Linked DNA regions of Nothobranchius furzeri. The protein of the gene in region 2 purifies or fractionates together with the protein of the main gene of each other region. This does not show direct contact. Links are inferred from orthologs where the notes say so. Each region holds a gene or a part of one and is shown on either strand. Other genes may lie near its edges. The genes, in order: AP-1 complex subunit beta-1 and bmp2k.

Region 1 (12,192 bases), about 27 Mb from region 2:
CTAAATGTCTTCCAGAGTATTTTTTATAGATGCATCAGAGATTTAGTATTTTCCCAGAACGCAGTGAGAGGTTCCTTTTGATTGGTCGCTAAGAAAGTCTCTCTCTGTTTTTGTTTGTGTGTTCGGTGTGTCTGCGATGTTTGGGGGGCTGTAGCTGGGAGGAGACCTGGGCGGAGGTGTTGGGGGAAGTCCAGCAGTAAGTGGAGACCTTCTGTTTGACCGTCTGCATGCTGCACGCGTCCTGAATATAGTCATCATCACACTCTTAAGCTGACACCTTCAGCTTTTTGTGGATGACACACTTACATGCATGCTTGTAATGTTTCAGCCCATTTACTGGTAATGAAAATGAATTAACCCATTACAGGAGAATCCATCTAATTAATGTTCTAGTCTAGTTCGTGGACAAAATTTTATTAAAAAAAAAAAAAAAAAAAAGCATATTTGGTTTCAGAAATTCATGTAATTGTTACATAAAACATAAAAAACAGCAACAGGAGCTGAGCGGTTCCTTCCCGACTTTAAGCCTTTTGATTTAGCTGCTTCCATGTGTATGAATAGCTGGGTTATCTTAATCATGTTCTGTTTTGTTTATAATTTTTGTTTTAATCCACAATATATTAATAATTGAACTTTTCTGAAAATCTAATTTAATGAGCTCTAGTGATTTAGCCTCGGGTGCCAATAGTTCTGCAGGAAATGGGCTAAAACACACACACACACACACACACACACCGTTCTTTGTTACCTGCCTGGTTTTTGTTCTAAGTAGCATTAGCTTCTCATAATAACATTCCTCCTTCCTTCTGAGCATTAAAGCAGAAATCTGGAGCTTTTCCTCATAGTGCACCATCTAGAGGCAGAATATATAGAAGAAGTAGAAGAAGAAGAAAATACCATTTCTATAGCGCCTCTCAAGATAAAAATCACGAGGCGCTTCACAAAAACAAAAAATGTAAAAATATAAATAAGCATTTAGAAATTGTTTAAAATATATTAAAATGAGCAAAAATAGGCAATTGTGATTAAAAAAATGTAAAGAAAGAGAGAGAGAGAGAGTGAACAGGAAAGAGGGAAATCAGTGGATCCTGAGGAAGGTGGAATAGGTGGGGAGAGCAGAATAAAGAGAGAGTGGTGAAGAAGGTTATACAAATGCCAGCTTGAACAAGTGAGTCTTCAGCTGCTTTTTAAAGGAGACCACTGAGTCCACTGATCTCAGGCTCAGGGGGAGAGAGTTCCAGAGTCTGGGGGCCACAGCAGCAGATGATCTGTCACCTTTGGTCTTTAGCCTGGTGCTGCACAACCAGTAGACTTTACTATATACTGTTTAACTGTAAGTAGTGCCAACTCTGCATCTGTCTAGGGATATCCTCTCACTCTCGCACGCTCTGTGATTGACATCTGTAGGTAAGTGGATGTCTCACCCCGGCTTTCCACAGGAGCCGTCAGCAGCACGTTACTGCAGCAGCACGTCATAGCTGCTGATAGGAACTGCTGTGGTCAACAGAACCTTTTCCACTGGAGCCGTCGGCAGCGCGAGTCGGCCGCGTCTCAGGAGCAGCATGTCGCGGCCTTTACGCGCCGGTTCTATTTTCTACGCGTGACGCCTCTGAAACGGGTCAAGTTCGACATTTTTGGGGAAGGAAAGACAGGAAATCGGACACGGAAATGGAGAGAATCTACCGAGATTTTCAGAATAAAGAACGTACTGCTTTCCGGTTGCTTTACTTTTAAAAAAGGTTACTAACAGTGCGTCCCCGTGAGAAGTTATCACCTAGCTAGCGGTCTCCTTTGTTTTTCAGGTCAGTATTGGCGATTATAAAACGGACAGAACATAAAACACAAACCATGTTGTAGTTTTCTCCTGCTTGTTGTTGTGTTTACTGACAAAGTCACTCGTGTGACTTCGTGCTCGGTCGGTGACAGCTGCTCCCCTGCTGCTTCGCGTCTCGTGGGAAGGGCCAAGCAGCAGTTTACGCGAGCAAGACGTGCTGCTGCAGTAACGTGCTGCTGACGGCTCCCGTGGAAACCCGGGGTCACGCTATTGGCTAGTGCTAAGCAGTGCTCAATTCAAATTCCATGGGTCTCTATGGGACGGGGGAAGGGCTTACCCAAAAATTGTATTACCTACATTGTATCAGAGTAAGAATATCACTTCTACAGATTTCTAAAAAAAAAAAATCTTACATAATTCCTGAAAGGAGGGAAAACTCCAGATTGCTGCTTTAAGGTTCTGTGTGGGATTTGTTTAATGAGCTTTTAGCAGTTTTTATTAATCAAACTTGCCAGAGGTGCTTCATCCAAAAAATTGCTAATTAAAATGTGTTTATTTTTTGTTTCTGTTCTTGTGTGATTTTTTTTAGGTGGGGCAAAACTTCATCCCTTCATCTGTCCCCAGTACGTTTGCTCCATCTCCCACACCCGCACCTCCAGCTGTCAGCAGCAGCGGCCTCAATGACCTGTTCGAACTCTCCACGGGCATGGCCACCACCACCGGAGGCTACATACCGCAAAAAGCAGTGAGTGAACACAACCTAATCCCAGAGGTGTACGTTTCATTAAATGGTAGAGGTGACTTGTGTGGTGGCTTTTACAGGTGTGGCTTCCTGCAGCTAAAGCAAAGGGACTGGAGATCTCCGGAACCTTCTCTCGTCGTCAGGGACACATGTACATGGACATGTCTTTCACCAACAAGGCTCTGCAGCACATGAATGATTTTGCAATCCAGTTCAACAAGAATAGGTTAATGACAAAAAAATCCTACCTGCTGCTCTGATTTCAGTCAGAAACTCACAGCTGGAGACACACTCATTTGGTTTATTTCTTTCCTGTAGTTTTGGGATGATCCCCACCAGCCCTCTTCCTATTCACACTCCGCTGATGCCCAATCAAAGTATCGACGCCTCTCTTCCTCTGAACACCATCGGACCTGTAATGAAGATGGATCCTCTCAATAATCTACAGGTACAGAACCAAGAGCTAACTGAGCAGTAAGCGTTTTTTTTTTTTTTGTGAGGGCTTCAAAACGTTTTGAGTGTTCTCAGTCTCCTCTTATGAGCCAATGATTGTGTGACTCTGAAAATACTCACAAATTTTGAAGAAGAAACAATCTTTTAGAGAGCCTCAAGATAAAAATCACGAGGTACTTAAAAAAATACAAAAGATTAAAAAAATGAGAAAAGTGAAAGAAAATTTGAGATAAAAAAAAATGTGAGGAAAGGGAAAGAGACGACAAATAACAAGAAAGGTCATCCATGGAAACCAGTAAAGGCAGAATTGGTAAAAAGACCTGAATGAGAAGGTAGTGATGAAGAATTAACAGGTCACACAAATCCAGCCTGAACAGGTTAGTTTTCAGCTGCTTTTTAAAGGAGACCACTGAGTCCACTGATCTCAGGCTCAGAAGGGAGAGAGTTCCAGAGTCTGGGGGCCACAGCAGCAAAAGATCTGTCACCTTTGGTCTTTAGCCTGGTGCTGCACAACCAGTAGGCTTTGATCACTGGACCTCAGGGACCTGCTGGGGGTGTAGGGACTAAGAAGATCCCCAATGTAAGATGGTGCTTGCTGGTGAAATGTGATTTCTCAAAATAATCCGGATCATCACGAGTGTTTGGAACTCTCCTCGGTCAGGAAGTAACAGAAATGTGAGCCAACTTTGATCATATGTTCTATGTCAGCGTTTAGTGAGAGAGTAGCTTTGATTCTTCACTGCTGTCTTTTATTATGGTTTCATTAAAACTGTAAAACAGTCTGGTGCTGTCTAAATACCTGCTTCTGCCCTTTCTGTGAACAGGTGGCAGTGAAGAACAACATTGACGTGTTCTACTTCAGCGTTCTCATCCCTCTCAACATATTCTTCGTTGAGGATGGAAAAATGGGTATGTTAGATAACAGAACATTCAGAAGCAACAATAAATATCAGTCTAGTAGTAAATGTCTTTTTTTATATTACAAGAATCTCATTGCCTAATTGTGAAGATCAGTTATATTCATAGTTTTTGTCATGTTAAAAACCAAATTCCAATAATGTTTATGTTTACGAATTCTGCAGAGCGACAGGTGTTCTTGGCTACCTGGAAGGACATCCCCAATGAGAACGAGCTTCAGTACCAGATAAAAGAATGTCACCTAAACGCAGGTGGGCAACTTCTTCAGAACCTCCACCCGGTCGCTGTCTCTGGTTTTGATGCCTGATTTGTCACATCTTCTACCAGCTCCATCAAAGAGATGACCTCTTCTTGTGTGTTCTCACATGCCTCTTTGGATTCCTCTATTTCTTTTTGCTTGTAACTAACCTTTCTTCACATTCTTTCCCTAAATTTTTCCCTGCAGCTGATCTGTGCAACCCTGAGCCACTGCTGAAAAACTTTACTGAAATCTGAAGGTTCTAATCAGAGTTTATTAAAACCCTGACATAGACGTAGCTGCGTCTTTAGCAGTAGGATTGTTATCATTCATCTACATGTTAGCGTTGGTAGCTGTAGCGATTACTGCCTCCCTGTAACATAGTGTCATACAAAGAGGCGTTTTCCTAACATGGAGTGGTGTTGATTCTGGCCTTGCAGACACAGTATCAGGGAAGCTGCAGAATAACAACATCTACACCATCGCTAAAAGAAACGTAGAAGGCCAGGACATGCTCTACCAGTCCCTGAAGCTAACCAACGGCATCTGGATCTTGGCTGAGCTCCGCATTCAGCCTGGGAATCCCAATTACACGGTGGGTTGTAGAAAAGGTCACGCTGTGTTGAATTCTGGGTATTTTTGTTCGTAATCCACCTGCACTGAGGATGTTGATGCTAACCCAAATGATCATATTGCTAAACTTCTCTCGTCACTTGTAAAACAGATTCTGAAACTCTTAAGAAAACATCTGAAGGCTGGTAGATTTTAAGTGTTCATAGTGTGTATTGAGTAAGTGTGCTTTTTAAATGCTGCAATTAACAATCCCCTTTAAAGAGCTCAAAGTAAATCTTACTAAAAGAAAAACATTAAATTTCTTACAACAGATAAATGTCTACTTGTGTGGTCAGACCCGCTATTCACAAACCTTTTTGAACAGATTCAGAAAACAGCTCAGATATATGATCATTGGAATGTAGTAATAGTTTCCTTTATGATCATTTAAAGGAGAACTTCGGATTATTCTTTTTTTTATGGCACCATCTAGTGGCTGACAAATGAATTGCACTAATTCATGTTTTTACTTCCTTGTTCACGGCCAAAAGCAACGCTTTTCGTTCATAAATGCACTCCTCAAGCTGACCAAACAGCTAGAAAACATTGTTTTGCTATTATTATGCTCATATCATGTTGTGCATTAATATATTTATAGTTTAAAGACTTACTTGTACATGAGAAAGGTAGCCAACTCTGCGTCAGCCAAAGTAGGTCCTCAAACGCACAAGCACGTTCTGTGTCTGTACGCAAGTGGTAGCCCAGGGCTGTTGGTTAATGCTGACTGGAGCTCAGTTCATATTGCTTGGAGCTCTACGGGACGGGGGAGTGGGCTTAGCAAAAACTAACATATTGCCTTTACGGATTTCTAAAAAATCTTACATAATTCCTGAACTAGGAATACTCCATATTGCAGCTTTTGTTTTATAAAATTAGAAACAAACCAATAATTTTTACCAGTAATAAAACCTTTTAAACGTGTGTGGAGGTTTTTTTATAAAACACAGCACCTGTTCTGTTTTTACAGCTGTCCCTTAAGTGTCGGGCCCCTGAGGTGTCTCAGTATGTCTACCAGATGTACGACTCCATACTGAAGAACTGACCTGACCGAGACTCTCCTTCACCCTGGCAACAACCTTCAGTGTTTCTTCATTTTCTCTTATCTGCAGCTGATTGCCACAGCAAAAAAAAAAAATAAATAAATAAAAAATCCAAGCAGATAATAAATGATCAAAAATATTTGATGTACACCCCCCAAGATACTTGTAGGGTAAAAATCAGTCAATACAGTTTGATTGGAAGTGATTTGTAGTTGAAACAGTTTTATCCCTTTTTCTGGCAGTTAAAAACAGTCTCCATCGCTTTGATTACACTCCTTATTTGTGTTTACTTCTCTGTGAAACCTTGCTAACATTCCATTCTTAACTAGGTATCTTAATGTTGTGAGTGATGTCGAAACAGTTTCAGTTAATGAAGCCATTTTCTTTGTTTTGTGATCTGTTTTATTTTAAAAGTTTATTTTTTAAACTGGCTTTACTTCAGCCGAACCTCCACAAAGACGCCAGTGTTCCCTTTTGCCATTATTGTGTGAGGATGTCTGCAAACTGAAGCTACCGCTGTTTTTTTTATTCCCTGTCATGATTTAAACCCACAGCATGTTTAGTAGATTTACCCAAATATGTGCTGCATTTATTTGCCAACAGTACCTTTATTTTCTGTAACGGTATAAGAATAATTCATGAAAACATTCAGACATTTTTAAAAAACAAGTGACGTAAGAGCTGTAAGTAACTCTGGTGAAATTTTAGATTTTGGTGTTTACTTTTTGTGTTTCGTTTGAAACGGAGATGCATGCATAAAAAATAATCACTTCTTCATGCTGGTTGTAGCTGCAGCTTTTTTCATCTTTCATCAAGTGTTATTTAACTCATTATTGCATATAAAAGCACATAAATGCAAATGAAAGACAAATATTAGATTATTCCTAAAGGAAAATCCTAAACATCTGCAGAACCCAGTTAAACAGCTTCTAGTGACCAATATGACTGATTGCCAGCTGTTGTGTTGAAACACCCATTCCACTCCATTTTACTTAAAACCCTGTCTTATCGCCCTGTTTACTGCAACTGTAGTTGTTTTCTCATGGCTTTATTCACTTATCATTCCTATTTATTTGCATCTACCTCCACATGTTGATTGTGTCAGTAGCTTCAGTTATGATTCCTTTATCTTCTAAATGCTGATGTTTTATTTTTTTAATATTCATGCCAGTGTAAACTTTTTGAAATTGGCCAAAATGCAACTCACAGGACCAATAATTCTCTTAGGATCAAACCTGTGTTTTAATAATGTGGTGTCGTTATAACCTGATGTTGGCATTGTGCGGTAGCGCTAACACCTATAGGCCCGAGTTGTGGTGTGGTCCAGTTATGGTGTTTGTGGTGTTGTTAATGAAAAGCTTCTATCACTCTGAAATTTAAATAAAGCTTTGCCTCTATTCCACAAAGTACTCTTGAGTAAGTTCATTCTTTTATAGAAGCACCTAAAAGCTTAATCCTTTTACCATTTCTGGGTTTTACATTTAACATAAAACATTTCATAGTAAACCTATAGATTACTCAGATAATTTGGTAATGCAGCTTTAGGGTCTGGGGTCATGAGTCTCAGCCTGAAGGAAAGGGTGAATAGTTCATGGCCCTGGATGGGTGGAGTCTGCTGTGATTTATTTTGTTTGCAATTTTACATGTAAAAGTAGGTATGTTTATTTGTCACTGTAAAAAAACCCATGATGGATTATTTGTGATATAATTGACCTGGGTCACTTTGCTGCAGGTATCTGACTTTTGAAATACAATCTGGTGGTCAGAGCAGGCTGGAATATCCTTGATCTTGTTCCATAATCACTTGCTTCAGGCACAAACACCAAATAATTTACTATCTGTTGTTCTTCCAGCTCTTGGAGAGTACAGACACTTTTTTCTCCTCTCCCTCCCTTCTTATCCCAAGGCTCTTTGTCCTGTCTTGTGCACGGCGCTTTCTGCATTTTTTCTGGAAACTGGAAATTATTAAAAATGGATCTGGTCATTTGGTCTCTCAACGCGATTGACAACATTTTTTCAACGATGAGAACGGGAGAAAGGGCTCCCGGATGCCCCTCTGGGACAGAGCCAGCTGGGTATATCATGGACTCCTGGAAACAGTGGAACCTGATCTGCCTCTCTCAACTGTCTGTGGAGGATTCTGAAGATGTCTGGATGTTCGTCATTTTGGTGTCGGGATTCCTGCTGTTTGGCCTGAGCGGTTACCTATTCGAGGAATATTGGCTCAATCCCGGAGCTCAGGGATGGAATGCACAAACTCATAAAATTGTCGAGATGAGTCGTAAGCTTGGAACTTTGGCTGAGATTCAGGCTCTGGCACAGAAGGTGGATTCCATCAAGGACAGAGCTGTGGACAGGTCAGCACGGATTGGGATAGATTAATTATGCCATTACTGGATCTAGAGGGGTTGAAGACCAACAGAACTCTTAAGGCAGAGAGGAAATTATCTCTGTCTGTCCCCAAAACAATTCTTATCTGAATCTGGTGCCCTTGGAGCCTGTGAGGCTGAAGTGATAACTCCCCCCTCAGAAGAAATGTAGAATGCTGCCGTCGCTATGGAAACTCTTTCTCCCTATCCCAGCCTGGGCGGGACTGTGACCGGTGAAGGCCGTGGAACCGTATCTAGGAGTCAATGTGCCCTCTAACCCATTATCTCCCTCCCCTGTCCAAACGGCGGTCATGAGTGCTGCTCCATGCGGCTGTACGCACTGAAGTGAGGAGAGTCCCAACTAGTGGTGTGCATCTCTACCTGCCTCACGATTCGATCCGATTCCGATTATCTGCCTAAAGATTCAATTTGAGTCTGAAATCCGATTCTTCACACAAAATTTTTCATTACTTAATAAAAGCAGTTGCTTATGTAATGTGCTGTTATTGTTACGTACGACTCCGTTGCAGTTGACGTCCATGAATCACATGTAACGGCTACGCGGCTAGCTTTACTCATTGATTTCATTACCTGGGCTTTGGTTTCGTTGTACAATGCAGGCACAGCAGTTTCTGTGAAGTGTCTTCTTGTCGGTAGGTTATACAGAGACTCGAGCGTTTTCAGGAGGTAGTGAAACCCAGCATGCTCTACCACAGAATATGGTTGTAGATCCTTAGCAATAAAGCATGCAACAGAATGGGTGATCTTCCCTCCCTCCGAAGCAGACGGTAAAAATGTCAGCGCTTCTTCAATCGTTGGCTGGGATGTGCTCGCTGTTTTTGTGGCTGTTGTTGAAGAAGTCCTCGCAGGGTGGAAACGTTCAAAATGTTTGGTCATATTAGTTGTGTTCCAAAAGTACTTTAGTTTTGTGTGACACACCTTACACACAGTGTGCGTCTTGTCAAGCTTTCTGTCTCGCTCATAAAAGCCAAAATTAGCTCAGACATCCCATTTAAATGTAACGGGTGCATCTTTGATTACTGGTAATGTTCGCCCTGTATCCCTGTCTGCCATTTCTGTTTTAAATTGGCGCTAGGGCAACACAGCGCGCATGTCATTGCAACTCCGCCCCCGGAAGTAGTCGTAAAACCTCAAGACTTTATTGTCCCAGCACGTCCAGAACATCGACATAGACATAGGGAGAAAATCTCATTATGTCACGTTGCTGCATCGATGCAGAATCATGCTCGACCGAATCGTGATGCATCTTAGAATCGATCATTTTTCCCACCTCTAGTCCCAACCCCACCTCCCCACCTAGTGGACACTTATGTTGTGTAATGTCTGAAGTCTGTGCGCATATCTGTCTGAGGAGTTTTTTTTTTTTTTTGCATAGCAAAGCTACCCTCTCTGTTCAGGGTAACTCTGAAGTGCCTTTTTTTCCCTCTCCCGACTCTATCCTCATATAAACCCTTTTGATCTATTACGGTAGGGCGACTCGGGTTGCAAATGACCACAGTCACCAATTCTTGTCATGTGTCTATGTATGTGTGTCTGATCTCAGAATTGTGTGTACTGAAATGCTAATTTCCCCCTGGGATTAATAAAGTATTTTTGAATTGAATTGCATTGAACTAAATAGCATAGGCGTGGTGAAGTCTTCTGGTTTCTCATCCATTCAGGACTGCTGAGATGGCAGGGCCCTGGAGAGGGTTATTAGATTTTTTTTAATGCTATTCAGAAAGTCCAGGGCAGTGTGTTACTTGTACCATTCAATTTGCTTTTCATCTATAAATCAATTAAAATAGACTCACTGCCTCATTGTTTCTATTATGCTGTGTTAAAGTGAGTTGTCATAGTTGAAGCGCTCGCTGATTGTCCCTCCAGGACGGTGCCGGCCAGTACCAACCTGGCTGCAGCCAGCTACGGACTGGATCAATAACCAACACTTACAACAAAATTGTAGGTTTATGCTAAAAGAAGTAATAAACAATAGTTATGAATAAGCAATCCAGGTGATACTTGTCTGATGAAGTTGTCTTTACCCTGCAGAGGTAAGCAGGGTTTGGCAATGTCCTCCAGAGGAGACCGCTGACAGCCAACAATCTTTCTGCCATTGTCACTACTCTTTGGAGACGCTTCTTGTCCGCTGCAGAACAACTCCAGCACCACCCTGAAAGGCCATACATCAAAAAAGGATCAGCTGAATCCCTGTATAACACCAGCAGCCTTTCTTCCATCTTGGTTTTCTTTAAAACCCTCAGGAAGTGGAGTCTCTGATGAGCTCTCTTCACTATGGGTGTGGTGTTCACTGACCATGAGAATTCATCAGTCATCATGACCCCAGTGAACCTAAAGGACCCCACTTTTTCTACTTTTCTGTGCCAGAACGTCAAAGGGTTAATAAATCTTTACAACATTTCAACGGCTGATGCAGGCATTCATAAAGCGGATGAAGAGGAACCTTTAATCTATTTAGACTCCAGGGGAATAAAGACAAAGACTCAGGTTGGAAATCTTGGTGTTATCATTGACTCTGACCTGAACTTCTCTGGACATATTAAGGCTTTAACTAAATCAGCGTTTATCACCTTCATCAAATAGCAAGAGTCAGAGGTCTCATGTCAAGACCAGACTTGGAGAAACTTATTCATGCTTTCATTTCTAGTCGGCTGGACTACCGCAATGGTCTCCTAACTGGTCTTTCCAAAAAAGCTGCAAAGCAACTGCAGCTTGTTCAGAAGGCTGCTGCTAGAGTCTTAACAAGAACTAAGAGAACGGAGCACACCACTCCTGTTCTTAGATCCCTACACTGGTTACCAGTAAACTACAGAATAGATTTCAAAGTGCTCCTACTAGTTTATAAATCACTCAATGGCATGGGACCAAAATACATGCCCGATCTCCGCCTTATGAGACATGAATGAATGTAAAAATGCTTTTTATATGACTCAGATGTTTTTTTTAATCAAAATTTCTCAGTTACCTTGAACTTGTTTTAGGTTTAGAGTGCATGCTCATTTGTATTCTTTACAGAATGTTTCTTCGTAATGATTTCTAATAATTTGGAGAGACCTGCTTCTCACTAAAAGCAAAATGCAGTTGATTTATATAGCTTTATGAATGTTTCCCTGTTTTTGAAGGAATTTTGTAGGAAGTTAAAACCCAATTATCGCATGTTGTTTTAATACGCAACATTTTCCCATTCAGATAGAAGCGTAAATCCAACTGAGCACACATTACGGATATCGAGACCTGTTTCTACTGTTTGAGAACAACATGTCCTTGGTGCCAGAACGGCATGAATGAACGACTGTGTCCTCCGTCCAGCCCAGAGACACAAATCATGCTGACTGTCTGGGACAAAAACAAAGCTTTTAACCCAAGATGCAGCCAGAGACGGACGCTTCTACGAAAGTCAAAACAACTCACAAGTTTTTATTGCTTGCGTGTTTCAGTTTCTTCAATTTCAGTAAGTAACCTTTACCTAAACTGAAAATTCATTCATCATCAAGCGAGGCTAATCTTGATCTGTGCTTTATCATGGTAAATAGAAATTTTCATTAGATTTTGCATTCTGCCTGATGCAAGATGAGAGAATCAACTCCTTATAAAAGTTTGCTGAAGTGAAGGAAGAACAAATGTTTTAAAATATGTAAAGAACGCAAAAGCTTCCATTTGTTTCCTGTTATGAGCTCGTTCAGTATCATCACAACTTGTTAAACTAAATGAAACCTTCAAAGAAGCTGTATTTTTGTTGATGTCATGGGTTTGATCAGGCTGTGTGGGCATTTTTACAGTCTTGTGCCCTCTCTTTGTAAGTAACACAATAATCATTCCAACAGGCTGTACCAGAAACCAGCATTTTCACATGCTTTCAGCTGTGTTTAGTGCGCGTCATTTCTGTCCTGCCATTGTTGCCTTTAGCAGCCGATTCACTGAGCTGCTCTGTTTCTGCAAAGCTTGCAACTCTGGCTTGCTCCCGGTGCTCTGTTCATGAACTGCCAAGAGGGACATCTGACCAAACAATGGTCACTTTTGTCCAT
Region 2 (12,430 bases):
ATCAAATGTTTTTAGAAACTGTCCTGTACGCCTGTATTCGTCAAAAACCTGGTCGTACGCGCGCTCCTCCACTCGTCTGATGATAAATCAAACCTGTGCGTACCCAGGTGCTCGTGTCTGTTCTGTCATTCACACACAGAAACACCCTCAAACATCTTTGGTCACGCTACGTCCTCAGCAAGTGAAATTCTAGGAAATTCCCAGGGGAATACTTTTTTAAAAACTTTATTGACTGTGAGATCGAGATACTGCCTGCTTAATTCAATTTTCAATTCAATTCAAGTTTATTTATATAGCGCCAAATCACGACAAGAGTCGTCTCAAGGCAATTCACATAATAAACATTCCAATTCACAGTTCATTAAGCCATTCAGAAATAATGTTTCCTATATAAGGAACCCAGCAAATTGAGCTTTGGGTGTGACCGAAAGAACGAGATTGCGGATACAAGCGGCCGAAATGAGTTTTCTCCGAAGAGTGGCTGGACTCTCTTAGAGATGGGGTGAGAAGCTCGGTCATCCGGGAGGGGTTCGGAGTAGACCCGCTGCTCCTCCACATCAATAGGAGCCAGTTGAGGTGGCTCGGGCATCTTGTCAGGATGTGTCCTTGACGCCTCCCTGGTGAGGTTTTTCTGGGCACGTCCAACCGGGAGGAGACCTAAAAGTAGACCCAGGACACGGTGGAGGGACTATGTCTCTCACCTGGCCAGGGAACGCCTTGGGATTCCCCCGGAGGAGCTGGCCCAATAGGCTGGGGAGAGGGAAGTCTGGGCCTCTCGCCTTAGGCTACTACGCCAGGGGGAGGAGATCCTTCGGTGACGCCATATATGCGTTGTACATGATTTGTAGTCATGCTAACAGCAAACTTTTACAAGCTGATAAATCTTAAATCATGTGACTGGCGTGGTCAAAACACCCATCATTACTTTTCATTTAAATATAAATACAATATATGTGTGATCAAGGGCGGGAGGCAAGGCGGATTAGAAAATAACTCTTTCAGCCCCGTTGACTAGAATTCATTTTTTTCGTTCTTCCGGTGACCCATGAGCCGACCGGAAAGGGCTGAGACTTAGGCTCCCTATTGAGCCTTTTATAACAAGAGTCTGACATTTCAGCCACACAATTTTGTTGTTTTATTTCATATTTTAGCAGCAGACCACGGTCTCGTTTCATTACCGGCGCGTTCGGAGTTTGTGGCTCGCTAAAATTAATAACATTTCTCTGTACTCCGATATCTCTGAGTTATTGCAGCACACAAGCAAGCTGAAACACACATTTCTGTTGTTCCACCTAGCTTTTAGGGAACCATTTGAGTTTGCACGCAGTTTATTTGGTGTTGAACGAGTTGCTCGTCCAGTTAGCTTAGCCTCAGCAGGGCTATGGCTACTTCTGTCTCTGCTTCTGTCTCCTATCTCTTGCTCTCTGTGTCAGATGTTTAGTTACTCCTCAGTCTCCTTTAGTGATAATGGTACGTGTAATAAATGTGGCATTTTTGTAGTTTTGGAGGCGCAGGTGTCGGAATTGGAGGCCTGGCAATGCGCTGTTGAAAAGCCCGTAGATAGCTGTAGGTACTTAGCTAGCGCGGGGCTAAGTAGCTCTGCACCCACTGACAAGCAGACAGTGATCATTGGCAGCTACATAGTCAGAAAAGTGGTATTAGAGACTCCAGCATTAGAGACTCCACAAACCATAGTTAAATGTGTTTAACTGGAGCCAGAGCGGGCAACATTAAATCTTACCTTAAACTGCTGGCTAAGGATAAGCATAAATACAGTAAGATTGTTATTCACGCTGACTGTAACGACACCCGGTTACACCAATCACAGGTCACGAATATTAATGTTGCTTTGGTGTGTAAGTTTGCCAAAACAATGTTGGACTCAGTCATTTTCTCAAGCCCCATGCCTGATCGGACCTGTGACGACATGTTTAGCCGCATGCTGTCCTTCAACCACTGGTTGTCTAGGTGGTGTCCTGAAAACAACGTGAGCTACATTGATAATTGGAAAACTTTTTGGGGAAAACCTGGTCTGATGCGGAGACGGCATCCATTCCTCTTTGGATTGAGCAGCTCTTCTTTCTAGGAACATGGCCAGTTTTATTAGTCCTCCATGACTACCCTGGGTCCAGACCAGGAAGCAGAGTCGTAGTTTAACACACCCAGCTGCAGCTTCTGAACAGTTACCCACCCACTAACCCATTGAGACAGTGTCCTGCCCACGGCCAAGACCACACAGATTTAATATCAGGCTTAATAAAGCAAATCATGGAAATCTCATAAATATTAGAACAAATTCAACTGAGCAGAAAACTAGAAAAATTAAATGTGGGTTGTTGAACATTAGATCTATTTCTTCTAGGACGTTGTTAGTTAATGACTTGAATTGTGATAATCAGATTTCTATAATCTCTCTCACAGAATCCTGGCTGCAGCAAGAGGACTATGTTAGCTTAAATAAGTCGACTACTTCAAATTATTTAAATCATCATATTGCTCCAAGTACAAGGCGAGGAGGAGGAGTAGCAACCATTTTTCATTCAGACTTATTAAACAATCCCTTACCAATTAATAGTTACAGTTCTTTTGAACATCTTATTCTTAAATTTCTTAATCCAGATTAGGGCTGAAACGATTCCTCGAGTACCTTGAATAATTCGAGTACAAAAAGCTCCAAGTCAAAATCTCTGCCTCGGAGGCTTCGTTTCATTCATGTTTGATTAATTCATGTTTGATTACTTCATGCCTTTGCAATCGCCCAGGGTCATGTTTCACCTGGACCAAAATAAGTGACGCACATACACACTGCACTGAATGCACACGTGAGTTGCAAATGTAACTTAACCTTCTCTTAAACCATGGAGGACAACGTGGACCCCGGTGGAGTGCGAAAAAGACAGAAAATGTCAAAGGTGTGGGACCAAGGCGGAAAACGTAGTCCAGTGTAAATACTGTAAAATGGATTTAGCCTACCACAACACCACATCCTCGACACTGCAGCACCTGACATCCACATGTAAATGTCACTTCTGCAAGCGGACTCGGAGCCTCTACAAGATAATGCATTTTAGCCAGTATTTCTATATATTCTGCGGACACTGTGCAACTTTTTCATTTGTAGCACTCAAGTTTCAGCTCACACTGTGCATTTGGTAGCAACACGTCGGACTTAAAATGTGCTAAAAATGGTAGTTTTTACACAACACGTCGGACCTTTTACTGTGTTATTGATGTCTGTTGTCCCTCGGGTTTGCTGCAGGAGGACACCGGTGTTTATGAGTGACGGAGGAAAACAAAAGAAAGGAAATAAATGTTTTGTGATCAGTATAATTTGACATAACCACAGCAAACATGCTTTTTCGACAATCCTTGTTATTGTGAGAAGAAAGTGTAGAAATTAAAATGAACGTGTGTCAATAGGGAAACAGCTGGTGAGCCATGTTTGTGCATGAGCTGTGAGCGGTTCTGGTGCTGTTTGGGCCGCAGCCGCTCGCATTTGTTTACTGTGAAGTAAAGCTGAAGTGCTTAAGTTTTGAAAACTAATTTTGAATAAAACTTGGAAGAATAACTGGCAATTGCTTGCTCTTTTAAGAGGTATTTCATATTTTATAACATGCTATTTGATATAATGGTTTACAAACAAAAAAAGACAAATTTATTAGAGTACTCGATTAATTGATAAAAGATTCGAAAGAGTACTCGATTACAAAAATATTTGATAGCTGCAGCCCTAATCCAGATTGAAAAACTGTAAAACCACTCGTTTGTAGTTTTGTATCGTCCACTCTGAGTTTTTGGATCAAATCTCAGATTTTTTATCTGATTTGGTGCTAAATACTGGTAAGGTCATTGTAGTGGGGGATGTTAACATTCATATGGACATTGAAAATGACAGCCTTAATGTAGTCTTTAGTAATATCTTGGATCCTCTGGAGCAGAGGTCCCCAACCCCCGGGTCACAGACCGGTAACGTCACCTGTTCGAGCAGCTTTGTGAGGAAATGGACGCAGAGCACAGACACCTTCTTTTATACACAGAAATAAGATGGTTATTCCGAGGGAGATCGCTGACCAGTGTTTGAATAACGAGAGCCGCTGCAGAAATTTCTCTCAGAAAAAAGTCACCGCTAGCAGTGCATTTCAGTGATGAGCAATGGGTTGCAAAATTTGCTTACTTGTGCGACATATTCAGCTCTCTCAATTAACTAAATCTATCACTTCAAGGGAAAATGACAACCGTCTTCAAGTTGGCAGATAAAGTAGCTGTGTTTAAAGCAAAACTGGATCTGTGAGGACGGCGAGTGAACAGGGGGATATTTTATGTGTTTCCAACATTATCAGGACTATTGCAAGAGACTGAGCCTGAGCAGTCATGCTCCCAGCTGATGCAGGATCACCTGTCTGTGCTTTTAAAAGAGTTTGATCGCTACTTTCCAACCACAAAAGACCCACGCATGACCAAGGAATGGGTTTGTGACCCGTTTGTCAACAAACCAGATGAATCAAGCCTCTCTGTGCAAGAAGATGATCAATTGCTGGAGGTCACATATGATGGCAGACTGAAAAGAATGTTTGAGACAACAGCTCTGCCAGTTTTTTGGATTAAAGTCATGGCGGAATACCCTGAAATCGCCACAACAGCATTGAAAACCTGTTACCATTTCCAACATCCTACCTGTGTGAAACAGGGTTTTCTGCAATGACAGCAACTAAAACCAAATTACGGAATAAACTGGACATAAGCAACACACTTCGGGTTTCACTATCTCCCATTACTCCTAGATGGGACCGTCTCGTCACACAGAAACAAGCTCAAGGCTCCCATTGACGCAGCCTTGGTGAGTTGTACTTTTCAATCACTTTATAATTGTTTTGGTGAATCTTACCTTGAAAGCATGTTTTTAAATTGCCATATAAACCAAGGCCATTAGGGAGAGTGGAAATGCAATGTTGGTTAAAACTTAACTGGTTAAAACTTATAACCGTTAAGTAGATGGCAGTGTGTGTTCATGCTGATGAGGTTACAAGTGCACACTGGATTCATTGTTGCATTTAAAAAAAACAGTCTTTATGCTGGTCATATGATATTAAATTCTTGTATTTATCTGCTACATGTTTAAGACTGGTCCGTGAAAATATTGCCTGATGCGAAACCGGTCCCTGGTGCAAAAAAGGTTGGGGACCACTGCTTCTTCCTGTTGCATGCTTGCCTAGTTTGGGGATTGATGTAAAGTTTCTGACACAACAGTGACTCAATGCAATCTGCTGGGTTTCCTTCTATAGAAAACGTGACTAACTGGCATAATGAACTGAACTCAATTGCGATGTTTACTTAGTGAATTGCCTTGAGATGACTCTTGGCATGATTTGAGAGAATGCTGATGTGTCCTTGAGCAAGATACTTAACCTGCTGGTGGAGGGTGTAGCTACCAGTGGCGCCAGTGTTCGGCAGGCCTCGCCTCCATCAGTGCACCCTAGGACAGTTGACTACATTGTAGCTCATCGCCATCAGCGTGTGAATGGGTGAATGATTGTGTTGTGAAGCGCCTTGGGAGGTTGTAGGAACCTATAAAGGCGCTATACAAATACAGGCTATTTATCTTTATATCATTTAACACTAGATAAAGAGAATTACACGAGTGTGAGAAATGTGTGTGTATGGGTGTGTTTTCAGGAGCGAGTCGGACCGGTGTCTTGACAGCACTTTGGCCCGGTAGGGGCGGGACTGGTCCTACCGCCGCCAGCGGAGAAGCTGAAGCAGGATGTAAACCAGCTGTGGGAGGAAGCCACTTAACAGGGACGTCATTCTGGGATAAACGCAGTTGTTGGGAACACTGGGCCTCTTACTGGGAGCTTTACACTAGTTAAGATACATAGACCAGAAAAGACAAGTGTGACCCAGAAAGCAGCACAAACCTTCTGCTATGAGCTCCTCCACGGTGACCTGATACCGACCGACCGCGAACACCTTCCCGTAGTAACTGCTGACTCCCGAACTGGAGCTGGCACCGGACGCCCCTCCAAGTCCACCACTTTCGGACTTTGGCATTCTAGAAAACTTCTTCATCCTTCCGTCTTTCCAGACCCTTCTCAACAAGCCTGGTCGCTGGCAGAAGCACCACCCAGTAATAAGCTGCTTGTGTCCGACGCGCCCTATCTACTTATCTGGAGTCTTTTCTTCTCCTGCATGCTCCGCGCCCAGTTCTTCTATTGGAACTCCTTGCTGTTGAATAACACCACATTTAAGTATAAGTAGTATTATGAATCCGTCATCGTAGGTTGGTGCCCCGCTTCTCTTGACAGCACCAACTCGCTTCAAATAGCCAAAGCAGGGCTCGTTAGCTGGCTGCAGGCGTTAGCAGGCATGTAGTCGGCGGTGTGCGGTCAGGACGCTCCTCCAAAAGGAAGACCCGGGCAACGGTGTGACTGGCGCCGATGCGACCAACACTTTCTCCGGTACAAACGACACCCTCCCGGGTAAATATCCGACCTTTGGGTCCACTAACGTAACCTCGGGGTCGTTCGCTTCACTTCACTCACGGACAGTTAGCTCGTTAGCCGCTGCGCTAACAAGCTCAGTTCCTCCTCGGATGCGCCGCCCCGATCGTAGGCGGACGGTAAAAATGAAAAAAGTAGGAACTGCTGATGCCAGTAAGATTCTCCTGCTTTACCGGAACTAACTGGTCACTTCTGTTTCATTTCACTAACTCCTCTCATCGTCTTTTTATTTCAGCTTCGCCAACGTCGAACTTCTGATTCTTCTAACGCAAGAAATCAGTGGGAAGCTTGTTATTTACCCAATGAGAGTGACAACCAAACATGGCGTGGCTCCGCCCACTCATACTAGTGTGATTGGAGTAAGCGGAAACGTATGGAAGCCAAATAACATCAAGAATAATAGATGAGCACTGGGTTTCACTCAGCAGGAAGTGTTTGGCTCCACTATAAAACAGCACAGTGCATGAAAGCAGATATAGCATTAACCCTTTATAGAGCTAAAGTCTATATTTAGACACTTCCACTGACATCATGAAAGATTCCATTTTTGGTTCTTTTTTAAAACACAGGAAAGGTTAGGAAAAGAACCAAAAATGGAATTAGAAGCCAAAAACAGAAAGAAAGTACCAAAGATCATAAATGATGTTGGTGTGCCTTTTCGCGAGCTATTAAGTTTACGGGATTTCACCCAAACAATCATCAGAGATTAAGATAGTCACAGTTTGCCCCATGGCAGCATTCCACCAGTCAGTGCAGGGCAATAACACGCCAAATACTGGTGTGTCTGCAGAGCCGGGAAACTCCTCGGTCTCCTCTACAAGATGTGGAAGAAACAAAAAATCCACAAATTTTCATTAAAAACACAATTAATAATGGAAATAATGGGTGTATTCTAATACAACAGTTCTGGGGTAACTAAGTTATTAAATTTAAAGTTGTTGATTTATTTTCTGTAGTCTGTCACTTAGTGAGCAGCTGTGATCAGCAGCAACATCTACAGATGATCAGACCTGCTGTATCAAGAGCCACAACCTGGTGAAACACTAGAAACTAGGATGAACATTGGTCACAATTACTACCTAAAACTAACTTCAGGGTACTTTCATTTTGCTTTTCACGGTTTTGATGGAGATGTTTCACAAACCAAAACTTTTGGGACACTTTTCTCTTAAATCATTCTAAGACGTTAACATTAATCTGCTGCTATGTTAACCCTCTGGAGTCCAGGGGTAATTTGCCGTTTTTGACCAATTTAGAGTTTTCCTTTGTATTTCCAAAATAAAAACCATAACCACTGCCTTAAGTGGCATCAGTCTTTTCAGCACAACCTGGACTTTATGAATTTATACTTATTTTTTATATTTGGACATTAAGGGGTTGCATATCAGACCTTAAATCACTCAAAAACATAAAATCCGAATAGGAAAAAAGTTGTTTATTTTATTGTGATCCAACAAACATTTATGACAAATGTTTTTTATAATTTAGAATGGAACTATGGTATCCTGGACTATCTGAATTTATAATTATTTTATTAATTTGGCAATAATGTACATGCATTTTGGAGTAGGGAGTGGCTCTGTCTCACGCCGCGGACATCGAGATCTGACAGCTGCGCTGCGCCGCCCACTCCTCTTGTTGGATCTCCGAGGTGCTGGATCTCTGCCTTCATCCTCTACCTCATCATGACCCAACTCTTCTATGAGGAAGGATGGATCTGCCACATCGTCATCAACATCCTCGCTATTTGCCTCAGACTCCGGCTGTGAGTCTCCGTCCACTTCCTCTGCTTCCAGTTCAAAAAAACAGCCGTACTATCTGAACTGACTAGTGGACATTTATCCTTCTCATCATCCTTTATATAAGCCTAATAAAAGCTTACTAAACTGCAGAGACAATATATCTGTCCGGATCGCTCCACAGTATGAAGTTTACCGTCAATATCTGTCTAACTGTTGTTACTCCGTTCGCGCCATTCCTTTCCCCGCCAAACGGCTCCCTTTTGCGCACATCTCATTACTCGTGCGGCCTTCCTCTCTCTCTCAGCTACATGATGATACTTTTTATCAATTGAATATGTGAGACTTCCACCAACAGCAAAAGGATCTTATATTTTTGTGGGGGGTTTTATGTTCACAAGCACATTCCCTCTCACGGATTACTAAACTGCTGTTTTGACAAGTTATCAGATTGCCTAAAAATAGGTTGTTTTTTAGTTTAGTATAACTCCGCTTTTACGTTGCCTATTAAAGAAATGTAAAAACTGGGGTGTAGTTTATAATCTCCTTTATAAAGCTGAATAGAAATCTAAACTCAGGGAGGCGGAGTCTTGCTGCAACTACATCCCAAATCAGACCTGTTCAAAAGACGCGTATACTCGTCCATGGACCCCAGAGGGTTAAGTAGATTCATAGTAGATGCCTGGAGAAAATATCCAGTCTGCCTAGTAACAGATAAAACCACTACCTATGAGGTTTTAAGGATTTAAGATTTCTTAAACTTAATTCCTACTTCTGCAATTGTTCATATAAAATTAAATAAATTAGTAACAAACAGATGTTGACACCTTTAATTTCAATGATAACTTGTAGGAATATTATTTGGACTAGGATCAATTATACTGTTGTTATCTAAAACAGGATTTAGGCTACAGAAGGTGTGATTGTTGATTAAAAGTTTAATGGCCGATCACACAGACGGGTCATGCTTCTGCTTGCAGACTGATGCCATGAATAACGAGGTGCTTCATTAAATTGCTGGTATTTCCATATTTAGAGACAAAATTTAGCTCCGTTTCCTTTTACTTTGGCAAAATGCAGCAAAAGCTTTTTTTTTTCAGCATTTTTTAAGTCCACCACCTCGGAGAAGTTTTGTAAGATCCAGTCAGGTGTCGTGCTGCAGCGGGAGGAATGGAGCTGCAGCTCCTTAACAGGGATATTTTACTGGGAAAGTACAGAAATTTAGCCCAGAAAAATATGTTTAGTACTATTAGAACGAGTGGTGGTGTGGTGGTAAACGTAGAGCTTCAGCAGCACACCGCTGTGTCACTCTATCCTGCTCCCGCTCAGCTCTGGGAGCAGCGGCAAACAGCCCCACCCGGCTGGAAAAGCTTGAATGGGACATACCAATTCGAGGAATAGGAGAGGGTGATCATAATCTTTGAATGATTACTAACACATTGTTTAGATTTGGATCGAATGTGATCTGGGACACAACTTTATGCCGTCCCCCCAGGATTTCCGTTTATGATCGTGGGCCTCGGTGAAAAAAAATAGTGAAATTTCTGTTTGCTTCACAGCCAGACAGGACAAGAAAAAATAAATAAATAGCGACTTTCGAGCCCCGGACAGAGCCACACCCCATATACACTAGATATTTGCATCGATCTCATGGGGTGCCCCAAATCGCAACAAAATTCCATAAATCCGGTAAAAACCGGAGAATCCACATCCCTGAGTTATGCTGCTATAGGCTTAAGTTTGGTTTATGCTTGACGCATTCACTTTCCGCTTGGTGATGCGGCTCGCGGCTGGAACGCGCTTCACAACTTGCGGCGATTATGGTTCATGCGGCTTGTCTCTGCGGTGAGCCAATATTCTCCCAAACTGAACGGGGCAGCATGGAGCTCTACGGCATGCATCCAACACTACACCATAGTAGAAGTAGAAATTACTGTTTACAACATGGCATTTCAGCAGTTTTTAACAGCGTCCTCATCTTTTCCGACAGTGCGAGCTATTTCTCTCCAAGAATTATTAACAACATGTTGATCACGGTGATCTCTGAGAGCTGAATCATACAAATGTCTGTATTTACGAACCTCTGCCATACTAGTTCTTGCCGGTCCGCCATGTTTTTCCGCGTCCGACCGTCCACATGGTTAGAAAATTTCCTAGGTGCGCGTTGCGGAAATTTTGGGCCATGCGGAGGCACGGTGGAGGGGCATGGTTGTTAAAATGACGCAAAAATGACGCAACTTTTCCGCGCGGAGCCGTGTGGACCTCGCGGACACGTCAAGCGTAAACCAACCTTAAACCGGAGCTTAGACTGCTGGAGGACACACTGACCACTTTCCACACTCGACTACTTTCTTCTACAATCTGCTCTTTAACTGTACTATTTCCTGCTATTTCAGCTGTTAACTTTATTTTTTCTCTAAGTGTTTTTCTCCCCATAAGAAGCTACAATGATGTTCTACTGAGCTGTGGTGGCCTCATGGAGGGGGCCATCGGCTAGCACACTGCTGCTAACCACTTAAACATTCTCCCTCTCCTGATAATAACATTTTACTCTCTTTGACATTGAATGTGCTACTACTAGTTTACCCGTTTAATTATAGATTCAATAAAATAAAAATAACAGTTTATCTCTTACTAAATTACTTATTTAATCTCTTGTTGCCTCCACTCTTCCATCCCCCAGCACATTCTTTGCCTTTGAAGTGAATGATGCCACTGAATCACTCTGCTCCACACTCTGTTCGTGTCTCAACAACATGTGCCCTTTAGCCACCAGACCCGCTAGATCCTCTCAGTCACACCCTTGGCTAAATGATACCCTCCAGTCTCTATGCACCAATCTTAGAGCTGCGGAAGGGAAATGGCACAAAACGAAAGATCCAGCTGATCTATCGAAATTCCAGGCATTAATGTCCTCATTGTCTACCAGCATCACTGATGCGAGGGAAGCTTTCTCCACTGACAAACTTCTCAGCACTTCTGTCACCAAGAAACTATTTTCAACATTCAAAACTCCACTTAACCCTCCACCTCCTACCAGCAATCTATTGGCAAACAACTTTGCCTAATTTTTCCACTGAGAAAGTGGCAGCTATAAGCAAACAGTTTACTGAACTAGACAATCCTGAACCTTCGCTACTACAAAGTATTTCTAGCCCGACCATCAGAAGCCCGACTGCATCATTTTCTTAATTTACCCCTCTCACTGAGAACTGTGTCCAAACTTCTCACATGTAGCTGCCCTACTACATGCCCACTCAACCCCATTCCGACTAAGCTGCTCCAAACTATTGCTGCTACAGTAGCCACAGCAGTCACGTGTGATTAATGCTTCACTAACATGTGGTACATTTCCCACCTCTCTCAACCGCTGCTAAAAAACCATCCCTTCCTCCAAATCATGTGGAGAACTACTGGCCCATTTCTCTCCTCCCATTTATGTCTGAAATCATCAAAAGAGTGGCCTTCAAGCAGATCACAGGACACCTCTCACATAACTGTCAGGTAGACCCTTACCAATCTGGGTTCAAAAATGGCCACTCCACTGAAACAGCTCTGTTAGCAGTGACTGAAGCCTTAAAAGAAGCTAGAGCGACTGCCAAATCCTCAGTACTTATACTACTTGACCTATATGCTGCATTTGACACTGTCAACCATGGCTTCCATTAGACCATACTGTCTAGCATGCACATCACAGGGAAAGCACACTCCTGGCTTGACTCATACCGGACAGGATGATCGTTCAGTGTATCTTGGCTCGGAATATATTTTGCTGTTCGTCATCTTACCACAGGAGTCCCCCAGGGCTCTGTACTAGGACCTCTTCTCTTCGCCATATACACCACCTCACTGGGTGAGATCATTCGATTGCATGGCTTCGCCTACCACTGCTATGCCGACGACACGCAGCTCTATTTGTCATTCCCGCCAGATGGCCTCACAGTCTCTACACGAATCTCAGACTGTCTTTCTGACATATCAAGACAGATGACATCCCACCATATCCACCTCAACCTCTCAAAAACTGAATTACTTGTAATCCCAGTGAAACCATCCATACAGCACAATATCTCAATCCAAAATGATTCCCTGTCTCTGGTTCCTTCAAAGACATGAAATTTGGGTGTTGTGATTGATGACCAGCTGACCTTTAAAGATCACGTTGCCTCTGTCGCTCATTCATGCTGTTTCGCG

Evidence for each region.
Region 1: the proteins of bmp2k (region 2) and AP-1 complex subunit beta-1 purify together in Homo sapiens (affinity purification with mass spectrometry; 3 studies listed by BioGRID and IntAct, with this or other methods). This does not show direct contact. The link is inferred for Nothobranchius furzeri from reciprocal best matches to the Homo sapiens genes BMP2K and AP2B1.

What each region holds. Positions count from the first base shown.
Region 1 is NC_091750.1:66,900,392-66,912,583, forward strand, and holds the end of AP-1 complex subunit beta-1, read left to right. Parts: intron 1-154; coding exon 155-196; intron 197-2,363; coding exon 2,364-2,519; intron 2,520-2,596; coding exon 2,597-2,742; intron 2,743-2,834; coding exon 2,835-2,964; intron 2,965-3,793; coding exon 3,794-3,878; intron 3,879-4,051; coding exon 4,052-4,138; intron 4,139-4,565; coding exon 4,566-4,720; intron 4,721-5,704; coding exon 5,705-5,779; 3' UTR 5,780-6,195; downstream 6,196-12,192. Other genes in the region: hepatic and glial cell adhesion molecule, read left to right, coding at 11,534-11,618. UniProt on the Homo sapiens protein: Component of the adaptor protein complex 2 (AP-2). Adaptor protein complexes function in protein transport via transport vesicles in different membrane traffic pathways.
Region 2 is NC_091750.1:39,758,463-39,770,892, forward strand, and holds the start of bmp2k (BMP-2-inducible protein kinase), read right to left. Parts: upstream 6,287-12,430; 5' UTR 6,067-6,286; coding exon 5,916-6,066; intron 1-5,915. UniProt on the Homo sapiens protein: May be involved in osteoblast differentiation.